Linked DNA regions of Coturnix japonica. The protein of the gene in region 1 interacts with the protein of each later gene in a pairwise test. Links are inferred from orthologs where the notes say so. Each region holds a gene or a part of one and is shown in the gene's direction. Other genes may lie near its edges.

Region 1 (7,610 bases):
CAAATGTCTTAAAGTAAACTAGTGAAAGCTGATGGCTAGATGTCTCTACTAGAAGGAACAAAGACTAATTTTGAGCTTTCAGGATGAAATCCACATCTTTGATAAGGAAATTTCCTTGTAAGAGAATCAGATGTTGTGGTGCCTTAATAAATGTGCCTGTGCACAAGAGCAAGTTGTAAGATTTTCCACTGTCACAAAAGAGTGTAACTCTGAAACAAGTCTTAAAAGTAGGTTCAATGAAAAGTATATGTACTCTCTCAACGGAGACAAAAAAGAAAGAAGCATCCAATAGTTCAACAGAATCTATGTAGTATGCTCTCTTAGCCCTAGTTATTAATGTTGTTAAACCAAATTTGTTTCTATTAAAGCTCTGTCAAACATCTCAAATGCAATTGGAATTTTTAGCTAATATTTTGGTTTGTCACATAAGCAACTGTATTGCTCAGAGATGACATCTGCAACACGCATTATGTTCATACTCTCTCTTAACTCCTTTTTTCTTCATTATCTGCAATGCTGTACCACCAAATACATTTTTCCTTTGTGGGTTTCTAAATAGTGCTATATAGTAAAGAAACACTCCTGTGTTAGAAACAGACAGTTAAACTAAACAGCACAGCATTTGATGACTCCTCATATTGCCCTTACACAGCTAAAAGAGGAGAGAGATTGGTTTATAGTGAAGTTTCATTAACCTGATTACAAAAATACATTCCTGTTATTCCACTGCACCTATACCTTTCTTTCAAAGTTACATTATAACAAACCTTGGACAAAACATGGTCACGCATTTTATTTCCCAGCTGCAAAACAGGTACGCAAATACTGTGTCAGTGAGCTGTATGTAGCTGAATGGCACCATCTACAACTCAAATATTCAACACAAGAAAATGTTTCGGTTTGATTTGCTCTCTCTGTCAATTGTTTAACTGTACAGTGTTTCTAAATCACCAGATCTATACTGCAGGCCCTAACATACAAAAGCTCCTAAAAAATATACTTGTAGATTAAGATTATTTACCTTTTTAACAAAGTCAGCCTCGCAGAACTCCTGAAGAATTCCCAAACAGACATTGCAAACTTCTGCAGCTGAGTTCTCCGCAGCTGAGTTCTGCACAGCAGCATTATCATCATTAACCAAAGAAATCTGACTGAGCGCTCCATTCTGGTTCAGATCTTCAGGCCCTCCTTCTGCATGTCCAAGTCTGAATCGCTTACAAGGTGGATCAGCTACATCAAAGCAAGTTGTATCTTCTTTTTCTTGATTACCGTTCAGGAATTGTTTCAAATCCTTCATCAAATCCTAACACAAACAGTGGGATTTTACTTTGTTGACTTTTCCTCTCGAATTCAGTGCTGTAAAAAGCACTTACAAACACAGGTTTAAAAAGCAGAAGAAACCACCTGTAGCTTTAGTCTTTGTGTATGTAATTAGCAACTTGTAAAGATACCAAAAAGACACTCGCACAATAAAAAACAAAAGCTCCAATCTGTACTTCTGTCAAAACGTTACCACCCCAACAAAACTTTTTTTGCTTAACAGACTTCTTTACTTTCCAAGAACACTGGAAACATTTTAAAGACCAACTTGCAGAAATGCATTTATCTTCAGCCTTGTCACTGTTCAAGGAAAATATGTGTCTACTGCCTTTTTGCCATTTCTTACCTAAGAATTTAATCCTCCAACACTGACAGCCCACACAACGAAGACAGCTGGCTACCACAGTATGAGAAGAAAATTAGAGCAGATAAATGCAATAGTGAAATTAAACACACGACAAAGTACGTCTCATTCATTCATGTAATGAGAAGCTTATGAATATTAATGAATGTGCTGGTGAGGAGAGAGAATTAACCATATATCTGAAATTTAGGAAGGATGAAAGGTAGAGGTAACACTTGGGTCAGAAAAAAAAATAAGGATTTATTAAGACATCTTCAATAACAGCATTTACTGTCGCAACTCAGATGAAAATTGGATAGAGCTGCAAAAGCATGATAAATGGCACACAGAACAAACACTTCTCAACAGATTGATTAAAAATGAAACAGGATTAGGAAGAAAGACGTGAAAGAAGAATTCTGGAGAGTCTAAACTTGAGTGAAAGTGAAATAATCAAGGCAAACACCGTAACACACAAGCATAAAGACATCATTAGGGCAGATACACGGAAATAATAGGCCTACATAATGAGAACTCTATGAATCAACGTGGTGAAGGAGCAAGTAGCCAAAAACAATTTGAGAAGCACATAATACAAAGACACAGGAAGGCTGACGGTGCACAACTGGGAAAACAATTCAGAATGCTGAATTTCAGCGGGAAGGTCAGCTAAATAGGGTGCCTAATAACACTGCTGGAATGACAGCGGAGCATCAACTGCGCCATTCTTCAGCTACATCCCTCAGCCAATGCTGCTGGAAGACGGAAGGAATTTGAGGCAAGAAGAGAAAGCCCCCAATCAGCTGCCGTGACCCACAGCCCCTTTGTGACTTACTGTGTTAAAGGAAAAACGAAGGAGGGAACTGTCGGGGATACACTGCTTGAGTGATAGAGCTGTGCAGAAGTTGCTCTGTCCTGTTTACAGAGTTTTCCTGGGAATACACAGCAACTTAACGAACCTAACACCAAACTGACGGGAATTCTTATACCACAGCACTACTGTAATTTCTCACACTTGCACAGAGCTTTCCCAACAGGCAATGTCCAAGAATACAAACAACATCCTTCTCCTCCAAGTAGTGTACAGCACGATACTGCATTCATACGGCCACATGTTCTAATCAGAAATACAAAGAACAAACCTTGTATGGATGCCTATAAAGCGTCTGTGATCCCACACGGCAGAACCTGAAAATACATCGTGGGCATGTGCCAGCACCCAGTAACAGCTGAACAATCGGCCTGTCCTTTTCTGTTAGAGAAGACATGCTGGACAACACTAATAATCACAGTACTAAATATAGGCCGCACTGAGCACAGGAGCATCAAACCCAGCGCGGCGCGGGGCGGAGCGCGTCGATAGAGCGCAGGGCGGAGCACGTAGCGCGGTGCCCGGAAGGCCGCCGGCTCGATCGCTCGGCGCTGCGGCGTCCCGCCTGCCGGGGGCGGGCGGAGGAGCGCGGCGGGCCGGAGCGGGCCGGGGCTCGAACGGGGCTGCAGCGAGGCGGGGATGGCTTCGCAGCCGCCGCCTCCCAAGCCCTGGGAGAACCGGCGGTTAGTGGGCAGCGTGGCGCCCGCCTTCCAGTGAGTGTGTGCCCCTCGCACGGGCCTCTCCGCGCACCGCGGGGTCGGCCCTGCGGGCGGCCGGGCTCAAAGGTCGGGCCTAGCCCGTCGGCGCGGCGCCTTGGCCGGGCCTGGGAGCTGAGGGGCGGGTTGTGCGCGGGTTCACTCCGCTTCTTGGGGAGGTGTATAGAAGAGTGGGGGGAACCTCCTGTGGATCTTCGTCAGCGGGTTCTGTGGGCTCAGAGCCAGTCTACGGAAAGTCGAGGGTTTAACGAGGTGGAGGTTGACGTGTTAGCAGGGCTGGGTGTGTTGCCACAAGTGGAAAAAACGCTGTCGTTCGTACGTGAGGGTTGCAGAGCCACGGAGTATGTGCTCCCCGTGGGAGTGGGGCTGTGTGTGGTTGATCCTGGCAGTGGAAAAGATGAATGTGTATTTGTTGACCTGAGGCTCTGCTCCTGCAGAAGACAGAGTGTACTTCACTGGGAAGGATGCTGTGCAGAAAGAGTTGTCAAATGAATTTTAATCAGAAGCCAAGGAAAGATGATGGCTGAAGATGAGTCTTGTTTTCCACTTGGTGCTGTTGATTGCAATTAGGGTGAGCTGAAACTGGGCAAAAGGTTACCTCCAAACTGAACTTTCAGGAAGAACTATGCTTTCACTGCAGGCTGAAGCTTGCTGAGCAGGAGGTTTGATGTTAAGTTTTCTTGGTGAGGTTATCTAGTTCATTTTAATTTACTCCAGGTATCTAAAAATTGAGTTGTCCTAATCTGGTTTGTGGGAGGGTGCCCCCAACTTCTGTGGTAGTACCTTATTTTTACTTCTGCTTTTAACTGTGACAGTCTAGGCTGGAAGAAACAAACAGTGTAAAGATGTAAATATTATACTTCGCTTTAGGTAAACCTGTAAGTTTTGCTGTGGGGAAAGTTGTTCCCTATCGCATGTGTAAGTGGTACAGCAGATTGCTTCAGTATGGAAAACAGCAGAAGATGGACAGCTACTTGATAGAATTCAGATGCCAAGTACTTGCACAGACCTATTACAAAGGATGTAGGTAAACCGGCTGAAACTTACAGGCATGCCAAGAGCTAGAAATTTATTATTATTTTTTTTAAAAAAGTAAATGAGCTCATAGTAGCTCTTTCTGCCAGCTGTTAACAGTCTTAGATTCAGTCCCAGTTCAGTAGGGGGAAGCAGGGAGCCCTAGGCTGTTGTGTGTGCTGTTATCATTTGAATTTTGTTAGGTCCCACCAGTCGGTTCTCCAAGGGTGACTTCAGAGGAGCTGTCTAGCTTCCTTCTTGCTGTACCATTGGCTCATTATCTAGAAGAAACAAGAACAAATGTTGGAATTAAAGCTTTCAAATTGCAAAATATTCTTGGTAGTGTGTATGAGATGCCCTTTTGCACAGGCGAATGACTTAGGAGTTGAATCAGCATCAGATTGGATGGGTCTAGCCTTAGCATTTTGTGCTTTTGGTCTGTACAAGAAAAACAGCTCTTATATGTTTCAGATATGCTGCAATTCTACATTTGCATTGAACATTTCTTTTTTTTTTTAATGAAAGATTTGTATTTCTTGACAGAAATTTTTAATTCTCACTAACACTGTGCGACAGTATGAATGTTTGGTAACCAGATTCCACAACCTGGCACTAGCAAAGCGCAGGGTCATATTGATAGCTATTGAATAATGCTGGAGAAAATGAAAACATAACCACATTTTGAGTACTGATCTTGGTTGTCTGAATCTGTTTAGGTCTCCTGACTTGGGTGACAACTTGCTGACCAGACCTGGACAACCCACAGTTGCACGAATACCTCCACCTATTTTGCCGAGACCATCACAGCAAACAGGAAGCAGTAGTCTCAGTACTTTAAGGCCAGCATATAGCAGTTCTTTTACTACAGGCTATGGTTCATATGGAACTTCTTTTTATGGAAGCTACAGCCCTTACAGTTATGGATATGGTGGCTTGGGCTATAACCGCTTTCGTACAGATGATATTCCTCCCAGCAGGTTTGTTCAACAGGCTGAAGAGAGCAGCAGAGGTGCATTTCAGTCCATTGAAAGTATTGTGCATGCGTTTGCCTCAGTCAGCATGATGATGGATGCTACCTTTTCAGCTGTGTACAACAGTTTCAGAGCTGTGTTGGATGTAGCCAATCACTTCTCCCGCCTCAAAGTACACTTCACAAAGGTGTTTTCAGCATTTGCTTTAGTGAGAACTATAAGATATCTCTACCAGCGTCTACAACGATTACTGGGTCTGCGGAAGAGCTCTGAGAATGAGGATCTGTGGGCTGAAAGTCAGGGGACAGTAGCTCGTGTTGGTCTTGAAGACAAGGCAGCTAACTCGGCAAAATCCTGGCCTATTTTTTTGTTCTTTGCTGTTATTATGGGAGGTCCCTATCTGATTTGGAAACTCCTTTCTACATACAGTGATGAAGAATCAGGTAAAGATGATCTGCAGCATGAGAGAATCATGAAAAGTATAGAGTATATTGTTCATTTAGTTATCACGTGTATAGAGATTAAACCTAGACTTGGGTAATGGAAGTGTGTAGATTCTGGGGTACAACACTGAATTTTAAGCATGTGGTACAAGTATAAATAGCTTAGTGTTGATCTGAGATTCAGTTTCATGGTACACTTTATATGACTCCAAATTTGTGATTCCTTTCTATTAAATGTGGCAGGTGGAGAAGAAGGAAAAGCTATTGGTTGACTCACCAAATGTTGTCTTTGTTAGTCCCATCAGTTCTCTGTTAGAGAAGCAAAGAAATTAAGGTGTCTTCTCTTTGGTTTAAAAACCAAAAACAGACAAACCAAAAATCTCATCTATTAAATTCAAAGCAAGTAAATTCTTAATTTCTTTTCGGAAACAGTTTCTAGTAACTGGGCAAGTGGAGAAGATGATCATGTAGTTGGAAGAGCAGAATATGACTTCAGTGCGCTCTCAGAAGAGGAAATTTCCTTCCGTGCTGGTGACATTCTAAGATTAGCACCCAAAGGTAAGCTTTCAATTTTCAGTTTGTTTTCTAATCATATGTGAAATAAGTTGTGTAGTTTGATTCTGAAATTGTGTGTTTTTCGGGGGGGGGGAAGGGGGAAAAGGAGCAGGGGGAAAAAGTAAGAATGCAAAAACAAAACACATTTTGACCCAAGTTTTCATACCTACTGATTTATATTTTTTTCACTTGTTATTACGTGCACTGTAATAAAACTTATTAAATAGTTTTGTTCAATTTCCCTAAAGTATGACACAGCCTAAAGTTACTCTGGAAGTACTTTGTAGTTCCCTTTGTGGCTATCCTTTTTTCATATTTGCTATATAACTGTGAAAATCCTTATGGAAATGGCAGTATGGTGGTGTCAACACTTTCAGCTTCACAGCACACTTCAGAACATCACATCAATGCAGATCCTCATCATTTCTCTTGTGTAATAATTCGTGTTTCCCTTTTATCACAGAGTTATTTTCTCTGTGTGATTAGCTGTGCTCAGCCTCCTCATGTATTTGTGCCTCAACTGCAGTATATTTTGAATTGCTTGGTAACTTAATGCTTTTGCATTTTCTTTTTTTAGACCAACAACCCAAAATCCGTGGCTGGCTTTTGGCTAGTTATGATGGTCAAACAACAGGACTTGTACCAGCTAATTATATCAGAATACTGGGCAAAAGAAGAGGCAGGAAAGCAGCGGACCTGGAAAGGATTACAGAGCAACGTCCGTCCCTCACTGGGATGTCTGCTAGAGGGTCCACTGCTGCTGTGACTTTAGAGGAACAGGAAGCTGCTTTTGATTCTGTTTTTGTAGGAAGTAATAAAGTTCCTGTTGCATCCGATTCCACTGCAGTTAGTGGAGAGAAACAGGAACTCTAATGCACTTTCCTCAACAAAGTAACTGAATGGTGTTTTATTGATAAAACTTAGGGTATGTTTAAAATCTGTGTTGTAGTAGAACACTGATAGGCCTGTACCAGACTGGTGAAAGGATGGAGAAATTCTTGCTCAAATTTGTATGATTTCTTTTTTATTCACTTAAGGCTGTGTATTAGTGGCTACCTAACTACCTTGCAGCAGCTATAAGATCTAGAGCCAAAAGGAATGAGGTGTTTATAACAAAGCAAACAAACAAGGAAATAAGGGCGGGCCTGTTTTCATTAAGTAGACAAACTGTTGATAAAATCTAGAAATCAGTGTTCAGTCTTCATTGGAATGTCACTTGACAAGATGCCACTTCAGCTGATGTGCAAAGGAAAAGTAAATTTCTGTGAGAAGTTGTCCGGAACTGGAGGCTGAGGAAAATACTGATAACAGTACTTTGTTTCCCTATAAGAATTGCAAGAGATTTAGGTGACACAGTCAAACCACTACAAGTTCTCA
Region 2 (7,778 bases), on another chromosome or scaffold:
GGCTGGAGATGAAAGGAAGCGGCTGAAAAAATGGCACAATGATAATATCACAATAAATCCCTCAACCCCCCCCTAAAAACTGTTCAGTGAGCAATGATCAAAATGCCTGATTCCTGTTCATTAACGATGTAGGTAATTTTCATCCTTTCTGCTGTAGATGGTGGGAAGGTGAACAAACTGTCCAAGGCTTCACAGCCAGATCAGCACCATCAGATGGAATTTTCTGGCTCCCAATGAGCTATTCAGAGCTGAACTCTTACACGCTGTGTTTAGCAATACCATTGTTCTAGTACTCTGCAAAAAGTCCACATCCCTTTGGTTACACATGATTTGAATCAGCACAAGTATTTATGCCTCAGGACAATGTCCAAATCTTAGTTTTCTGCAGCCAGACCACAGTATGACCAGCAAACTATGGCTCCCAGGACATACCTTATTTCTGTTGGTTCTAATTAAAAAAACAACCACAAAAAATGCAACCCACAACTACTTGCATTTCCCTGACACTTGAGGCAGAGCTATAGTCTTATTTCCTGCGTTTTGAACTGAGCCCATCTCCACAGGGCAGCGCTTTCTTGCCCCTCGATGTGCTCCTCAGGGAGTGCAAAGTCTGCACTTGCTGTAGACGCTTGGAGAGCTCCTGATCACAAGCTTGTTGTACAGCTTCGGCTTTCTGCTTGTCCCAGCTTAAAGCTGCAGCCAGGGCTTGAGTGTCTTCCTTCACCACCAGCTGTAAGAGAAAGATTTGTAGCAGTGCTGCCCACTGATGCTCTACCACCACAACCGCCTGCCCGCACGCACCAAGAACAGGAGTAATGAGACACCTCTTTAATGCTAATTTGGTGTTGAAGATGTTTCCAGCCTGCAGCTTGTATCTCCTAAGCGAATTTATTTTTCTTTATATCCTACCAGTACTTAGAGCTTGAAGCTCTACGTTCCAACTAACGGAAAACAGTTCCCTAGCTTCTGCAGCACAGAAAAGCGAGATTAATAATTTCATATCATCAGAACACTTTGTCATGGCTAGTTTACCCAGACTTTCCTTTTCATGCCACAGAAGCTTCAGCTCTCAACCCTTTATCCAGACAGGAGAGATGTGCCAGAACATGGTTGTATGATCCTCACCCACCTCTAGAGTCTGACTGTCTAAGCAGAGCTCTGGGGCAGGTTTCTCTTTCAGAACAGCACAGATCTGGACACTGAGGGCTGTTGTGGCTGAAGTCCCTGCACTGCTGGTACCTGTGTCGACCACATCCATCTCCTTTCTTGGTACGCTCTCAGACTCTGAAAAGCAGAAGAATCATTACAGCCACACACACAGGACGGGAAGCATAGCCCAGACTGCGCTGTTCTTTTTAAGATTAGATACTCAGTCTCTAACTTAGGAAACCCATAGTATTAAGGATGACTACACTACGTAAGCTTTGCCCCCATATTCTACTTTCAGGCACTGTAAGCAGTGAAAGGACTCCTCCCACTCAGGGTATTCTTCCACTACACCAGCTATTCAATCACCCATGTTAATAGCAAGTGACTCACTCCAATCCTTCCCCCACTTATCTGTCCCACTCAACTCTTTCAGGCTTCTCTGAGAAGCTCCTTCTTCAATATCCTCACGTTCCCTACCTGCTACTTTGCTTAAGACGCTGTCTTCATTTTTCAAGGCCTCTAAGTAGAGTTCCAGGAGCTGCTTTGACTGACGTTCCTCTTCTCGTCTGTCCAGCACCTGCTGCAGGGTGTCCTGCAGTACCTGGGTTTTGGTTTGACTTTGGGCAAGTTCCTCTGCCAGATCTGAACGTGGTATGTCAATCAGCACCTTCAAACGATAGGAGTGTTCCTGTTCTATGGACTGAGTGATGAGCAATTCCATCACACTGATTACAGCACAAACGACAAGCCTGAATGACGGAGCCTCAAGGCTGGCACTTGAGAATCTGCATGTTTCAGGAAGGCAAGAAGGGGCAGAGGCACAAAGACATGATGTGAGGGACAGTCAGTGGTTTAGAGCATCTTCCTCAGACGCTGGTGCTGTCAGTGGAACAAGGAATCCCCCTCAAGGAGAATTTTCACGTTAGCACCACAGCCAAAGAAACAAGAGCTGAATTAAGTGATCCAATTTATGCCATCCTTTGCAATGGATGGATGAGCCTGGTGTCCCCCACCCCCCGTACCTGCAGGTCTCCTTCAGACATCAGGATGATGTTGGACAGGTCTCCCTTCAGCTGCCGTGCCAGCTGCCTCCACCTCTCTGCCCCGCTGTCCACTTCATCCGCAGGCTGTGATAGCCAGCCCGATCTGCCGCCTGCCACATCACATCAGCAGCCAAAAGATGAAAACACAAAGCTATCGAGATCGGGACGACAGCCGTTACCCATTTAAAGCTATTTAACGCTGCTTTTCTATGCCCTTTGCCTCCTTTCCGAGGTCCCTAGCCCCGCTCGTACCTGCGCTCGTCCCGCACCACCTCTCTCCTTTGCCCAGCGCCACGAAGGCGGTGTTTGCGGGCAGGCACATGAAATAATCCTCGTCGTCCACGATGGTTCCATCCTCCGCCAGCACCAAGGTGACGGGCCGCCCGTCCTCGCCGATACCCAGAGCTCGTCCAGCTGCGCGCAGAGAAACGTTTAATGCCGTTCTGACCCCGTGCTGTATGAGCGGGCCGTGCCCGTGCAGCGCCGCTCACCCTTATCGCGCAGCTCCCGCAGGCAGGACGCTGCCAGCCCGTGCTGCTCGCTGCCGTCTCCCCGCCGCACCACGCACGGCTTCAGCCGCCCCGCCATGGCCGCGATGGGCCGCGTAGTTCCGCAGCCGCCTTAAAGGGACACGAGCTCCGTGCGGCAGAGCATCGCGTTGTGCTGTATCGGCGGTGCGGAGCTCGGCTCGTGCTGCCTGCGGCGCTACGGGCGGCGGGGCGGGCTGTGCCATCGCCTGGGCGGGCATGGATTAGCCGGGCCTGGGAAGATGGCGGCCTCGGAGCAAGCGGAGCAGCCCAGCCAGGTACGAGGGGCCGGAGCTGTGCGCTCTGCTCGGGCAGCGGGGCGGGCAGGGCCGGGCTGCCAACAGAGCCGCGGGGGAGAGGTCAGGGTGAAGGGAGGGCAGGGCTGCGAGCTGCGGGCCTCCATTCCCTGCCTTGATTCCCCTGCCGTCCCCGCCGCCTCCTCGTGATCTGGGTTTCGCTCCTGCCCCCCACGCGCGGCCTCAGCTCCGACCGCCGCCCGCCCCCCCCTCATAGCGGCCTCCAGGGGCAGAGGGGAGGAGGATCCCGCATGGAGCGGCTGCCCGGCCTCGGGGAGCTCTGTGTGTGTATGTGTGTGTGTGGAGTTAAGCACTTGGATGGGAGGATAAAAAAAGTGGGAACAAACCAACGCAGAGCCCGGGTACAGACAGGCACAGTGCCCGTCAGGTGGGTCTGCACGTCAGGTAGACCAAGTGATTCTGCCTCGCAACAAACAGGTTGGGAGATCCTTGAAGCAATGGCACCAAAGGGCACTGCAATGACAGGCGCGATGCAAACGCTGCCCACGAGTGAGTGTGGGGCGTGGGGAGAGGCACGGGTGTGATGGAGTGACTGTCTGCTCTGGGCAGGTGCTGGGATCGCTGGGGTTTCATAAACTGGGCCCTGAAGCAAACGGGGAAGGCAGAAGGGAAGATGGCAGCATGGTGGAGCTGCACTCATTGTGGGTTTCCAGCCAGCTGTGAGGGAAACCCCAAAGGCGGTGCCATAGGACAGAGTGCAGCATAACCCCAGTGTCACACACTGCCAACCGAGCCCAGGAGCAGGGACCTGGCACTCCTCATCTCACCTCTGCCTCTGATGCAGTGCTATGCTGGACCATATGAAGGCTGTAAAACCATCCTTGAAGCGGTTGCAGAAAGGCCTTTCCTTGCAGGTGAAGGAGAGAGGAGCAGGGAGGGAAACAGCAAAGTCTGCTTCGCTTTTCTGTGCAGTCATTCACGTCTGTTCTCATTTGACTGAATCACCACACACGTTTCCATTGGTACTTTTATTTTGGACTGAAAAAGCTAAGTTTGTAGTGAGCATTGCTGAACTAAACAGAGATGAGATACGTTCCATAAAGGCTGTGCTCTGACACTGTGAGCTCCCAGGCTGTATAGGCCCCATTATCAGGCTGCTGGTTGGCTTGCTGGGCAGTTCTGTGCTGGTTGTGTGCTTTCATCAGTAGCACCTTGAGGTGCAGGCACATCAATCTGTTCCTCATGATGTGGGTTGAGCTCTGTCAACAGGAGGAAGCCTGAAACAGCCTCAGACTGATCTGTGAGCCACCTGGGGCAGTCCATGAGGCAGCTGCCTGCAGGTTTCCAATGAAGAAGTCTGCTTAATTGGTAAATGCGATTGCCTGAGAAACATTTGGGTTCCTATGATATCGTGTACACTCAATGCACCCTTTAAGTCTCTGTTTTATACTTCTTTAGTATTGCTTTGCCTTGAAAGAAGGCTTGATGTTTGCATTTTGGATGCAGGCTGTTGGAAAGTAACTTTTTGCCACAGAGAAACCACTGTGTCTGGCTCCTCATAGCAGATCCAGTTTGTAGGGCTGCTTTGGTGTTGGGTACAGGAGGTAACAGTGAGTTCAGCTGCTGGATAGCCATGATCTGTGCACCAGGAGCAGCCCTGTTTGTGTATTGAAGTTCCTCCTTCCCCATGTTGTGTGTTAGCATGGGACAGAAGGGTTGTTCTGTCTAAGGCTGTCATGTCCTGCTCTCCTCCCCCATCACTCTGACATTGGTTGCATGTCTTCATCCAGAACTGCAGCTGGGGAGTGTTCGGTGCCCTCAAATCTGGTTAGCTCGGGTGGGATTGGAGAGAAACCAGCAGGTTTGGCCAGAAACAAGGGCTGTAATCTGCAATTAAAGGATATGAAGCACAGTAGATGATTTCTTAAGGGGACAGTTTTGCAATAAAGCTTTTTATCAGCATATGATAATCAGCATATGAATACCACTCATGATATGCAGCCACTGCAGTTTTGACACTGGTACCAAGGCATGTAAGAGGTTGTCTTTGTAACACACTAAACATGTAAAGGACTTAAAAAATGTGTTTATTTTCTACCCTTAGTTATCTTTACCAACATGAACCTGTGAGTGGTAGGACTGTCTTGCTTAACATGTTTATGTTTGGATCCTATCATCTGCTATTACAAATCTAGTTAGTTCAGATGCTGCAGAGGGAGCGTCAGATATCTTTTGCCTTACTGTCTGTTTTGTCTACTTTGTCTCATTCTCATGAATTAATGTATTGCCTCAAGCATTGCAGAGAGTGGTGTTGCAGCTCAGATGAAATCATTGACATAGATAGGATTATGTTCTGAAGGCAATAAATGTTTCTGCTACAGATTTCTAAATAATTTATTTTGTTTAGAAATCATATTCTTTGGGCTTTTTAGTCATGTATTTGCTTAATAAAACAACAAAACAAAGGAAAAACGCAGAAGAACCCCCTAAAAGTGGGGGGTGATCAGATGGTGTAGGCTGTGAACAGAGTAACCCATTTCAGACCTCTCAGGGCTATCAGGGTTTCTTTGCTGCTGAGTACTTGGACTGTATATTGGAGAGCATCACTGGCTCAGCCAGCAGCAGCACAGGCCCAGACCTTGTTTTCTTTCTAAAGCTTCGCTGTATCCACTCTGGGCCCAGTCTGCCATCTAGCTGTGTTTTACCTTCATGTAGGGAAATAATTAAATTGCAAAGATGTTGAAAGATACCTGATTTCTTGCTCCATAGACACACTTCTCTAGTTGCATCACTAGCCAACGTGTAGGTGAATTTTCCTCCCTTCTTGCCTCCAGCTCTGCAGTGCTCAGCCTTGGAGTTTTCTGCTGTGTGCATCTTAAAGGATGGTTTATGGTATGGGATATTTGGTCTCTGGACTGTGATGGCCATTGCTTTGTTAAACACAGGCTACTGAACAGCCACTACATAGAAAGGATGGATTCTTCCCTGACTTATCTCAGAGCTCCCATGTACCAGAGGGTTGTTGTGCTCTGCCTTAGGACACTAGTTCTTTCACTGTCACCATGCCTTGTGTGCAGTGATATTGCTGGAAGGAAATGCAGATCTCATTTAAACTGTTGGTAGCCTTATACAATACAATCAAAATACTATGAATTATCCAGCTCATCAAATGTGTCATCAGGCTGTTTACAAGCACATCAGAATTTTTGAGTATGTGCTTTCAAAACTCTGACCTACCCACATCATACATATTTTCCCACATTAACCTGGGCTTCATTCCAGATGCTCTTTGGGCAGCTTCCCAGGCCAGCTAAATGTTGCACGTGCCACTCTAAGTGCTGGTGCAGCTCCTGAAGGCAGAATAGATGTGCTCCTGTGCATGGGAGGCTCTGGGACTTTATAGGGGCTGTGAAACCCATGGAGGTCAGTTCTGAGCCTGACAGTAAATAACACTGTGTATGGAGACAGGAGCTCAGCCATAAACTTGGAGAAGTGCCCTTTTCTTACAGTCGCATGGCATTGCCTCCACCACACCAGTCCGCGTGATTCGGGTATGGTGTGGAAACTGGTATTTGCAGTCATTGAGATGAACTGATAGTGCATGAAATTTTAGCAGAGAAACAGTGGGTAAAACAGAAGTGGAGGTGGCTGCATGGGGAAACACCAAGAGCCTCCACACATCACTGCCTTGCTGTGAGAGCTGGTTGGGCCTGAGGATGCACATGGGTCTGGAAGCAGCAGTTGGATGTATTTGTGTTACTGGCACCCTCTTGTGGCAAATACTTATTTCTGTATATTTTGGGGTGTTTAGATGGGGAAAAAAGAGACTTGAGCTGCTTTGAAGGTGTGATGTATTGCATAGAACTGCAAGTAGTTGGAGGTCAAGAGATCACTTAAGGACTTAGTGGTATCACTAGATAGTTTTAGCTTTCACTGTATTCTCTCAATAGAATCATGCAGAAAACAAAGGGTGTGTTACTGGCGGTGGAAATGGGAGATGCTCAGTGTCATATGGAGGTCTACAGAGGAGGAAAAAGAAGCATAAAATTAGAGCAAAGTTCCTTTGCATCCACTTTTGTAGCAATACTTTGGGCTGCTTCTGACCACTGTCTTTCTTTATCATCTCAAAAACCTTTACAGATGTTAAGGACTCGCTGGGTCCCTTGGAAACCAGTCTCAGTGCTCTCTGGCTCCCTACAGCAGCTCTGCCCATTGACAGGGTTCTGTTTAAGTGACGACTGATGGATCTAATTTTCTGTGTGACCTTTTGGTCTTCGGTTCATCACTGAACTATTGCTAATAACAGAAACGTGTGTCTGCCCAAATCCTGCTCGCCTGTCCGGATGGCCCTTTATGAGCATTTCTAATTGTGTCCATGGGGTGGCGATGTAACCTCACTTTTCTTTTTACTTTTCAGGCCGGCTCCAGCCCTGCTACTGAAAATGCAGCATCTCGGGAGCCTCTGGTAAGTTCTAACAGCAGCACGCAATTTCTTGCTAATAATGTAATATATGAGATGTTGTCTTTGCTCGTTTTGAATGAAAGGAGCTGGCTCTTTGTGAAAAAGGTCTGAACTGCCCAATGTTGTTGTGCTGTTGACCTGTGGCCATGACCATGAAGCGAGACATCAGCCTCCTGAGCTTCAGCCATTCCTTTCACAACCTTCATTTTCCCTTTTTTTCCCCCTTACTCTTCACTCCTCTTTAACTTTGCCAGAAATCTTCGCCCTTCTCATTGTCCTAAGCACATCATCTGTCTCACTGAGTTTCTCCTTTGCCTTTCCTTTGGTGCTCATGGTGAAT

The links.
Region 2: the proteins of PEX13 (region 1) and PEX14 interact in a two-hybrid assay, tested with the Homo sapiens proteins (2 studies listed by BioGRID and IntAct, with this or other methods). The link is inferred for Coturnix japonica from reciprocal best matches to the Homo sapiens genes PEX13 and PEX14.

What each region holds. Positions count from the first base shown.
Region 1 is NC_029518.1:5,441,443-5,449,052, reverse strand, and holds the start of PEX13 (peroxisome biogenesis factor 13), read left to right. Parts: upstream 1-3,092; 5' UTR 3,093-3,173; coding exon 3,174-3,247; intron 3,248-4,980; coding exon 4,981-5,678; intron 5,679-6,110; coding exon 6,111-6,236; intron 6,237-6,810; coding exon 6,811-7,106; 3' UTR 7,107-7,610. Other genes in the region: putative tRNA pseudouridine synthase Pus10, read right to left, coding at 1,022-1,303, 2,806-2,931. UniProt on the Homo sapiens protein: Component of the PEX13-PEX14 docking complex, a translocon channel that specifically mediates the import of peroxisomal cargo proteins bound to PEX5 receptor.
Region 2 is NC_029536.1:3,186,324-3,194,101, forward strand, and holds the start of PEX14 (peroxisomal membrane protein PEX14), read left to right. Parts: upstream 1-2,883; 5' UTR 2,884-2,961; coding exon 2,962-2,997; intron 2,998-7,393; coding exon 7,394-7,441; intron 7,442-7,778. Other genes in the region: DFFA (DNA fragmentation factor subunit alpha), read right to left, coding at 527-730, 1,130-1,284, 1,627-1,816, 2,172-2,302, 2,445-2,606, 2,684-2,780. UniProt on the Homo sapiens protein: Component of the PEX13-PEX14 docking complex, a translocon channel that specifically mediates the import of peroxisomal cargo proteins bound to PEX5 receptor.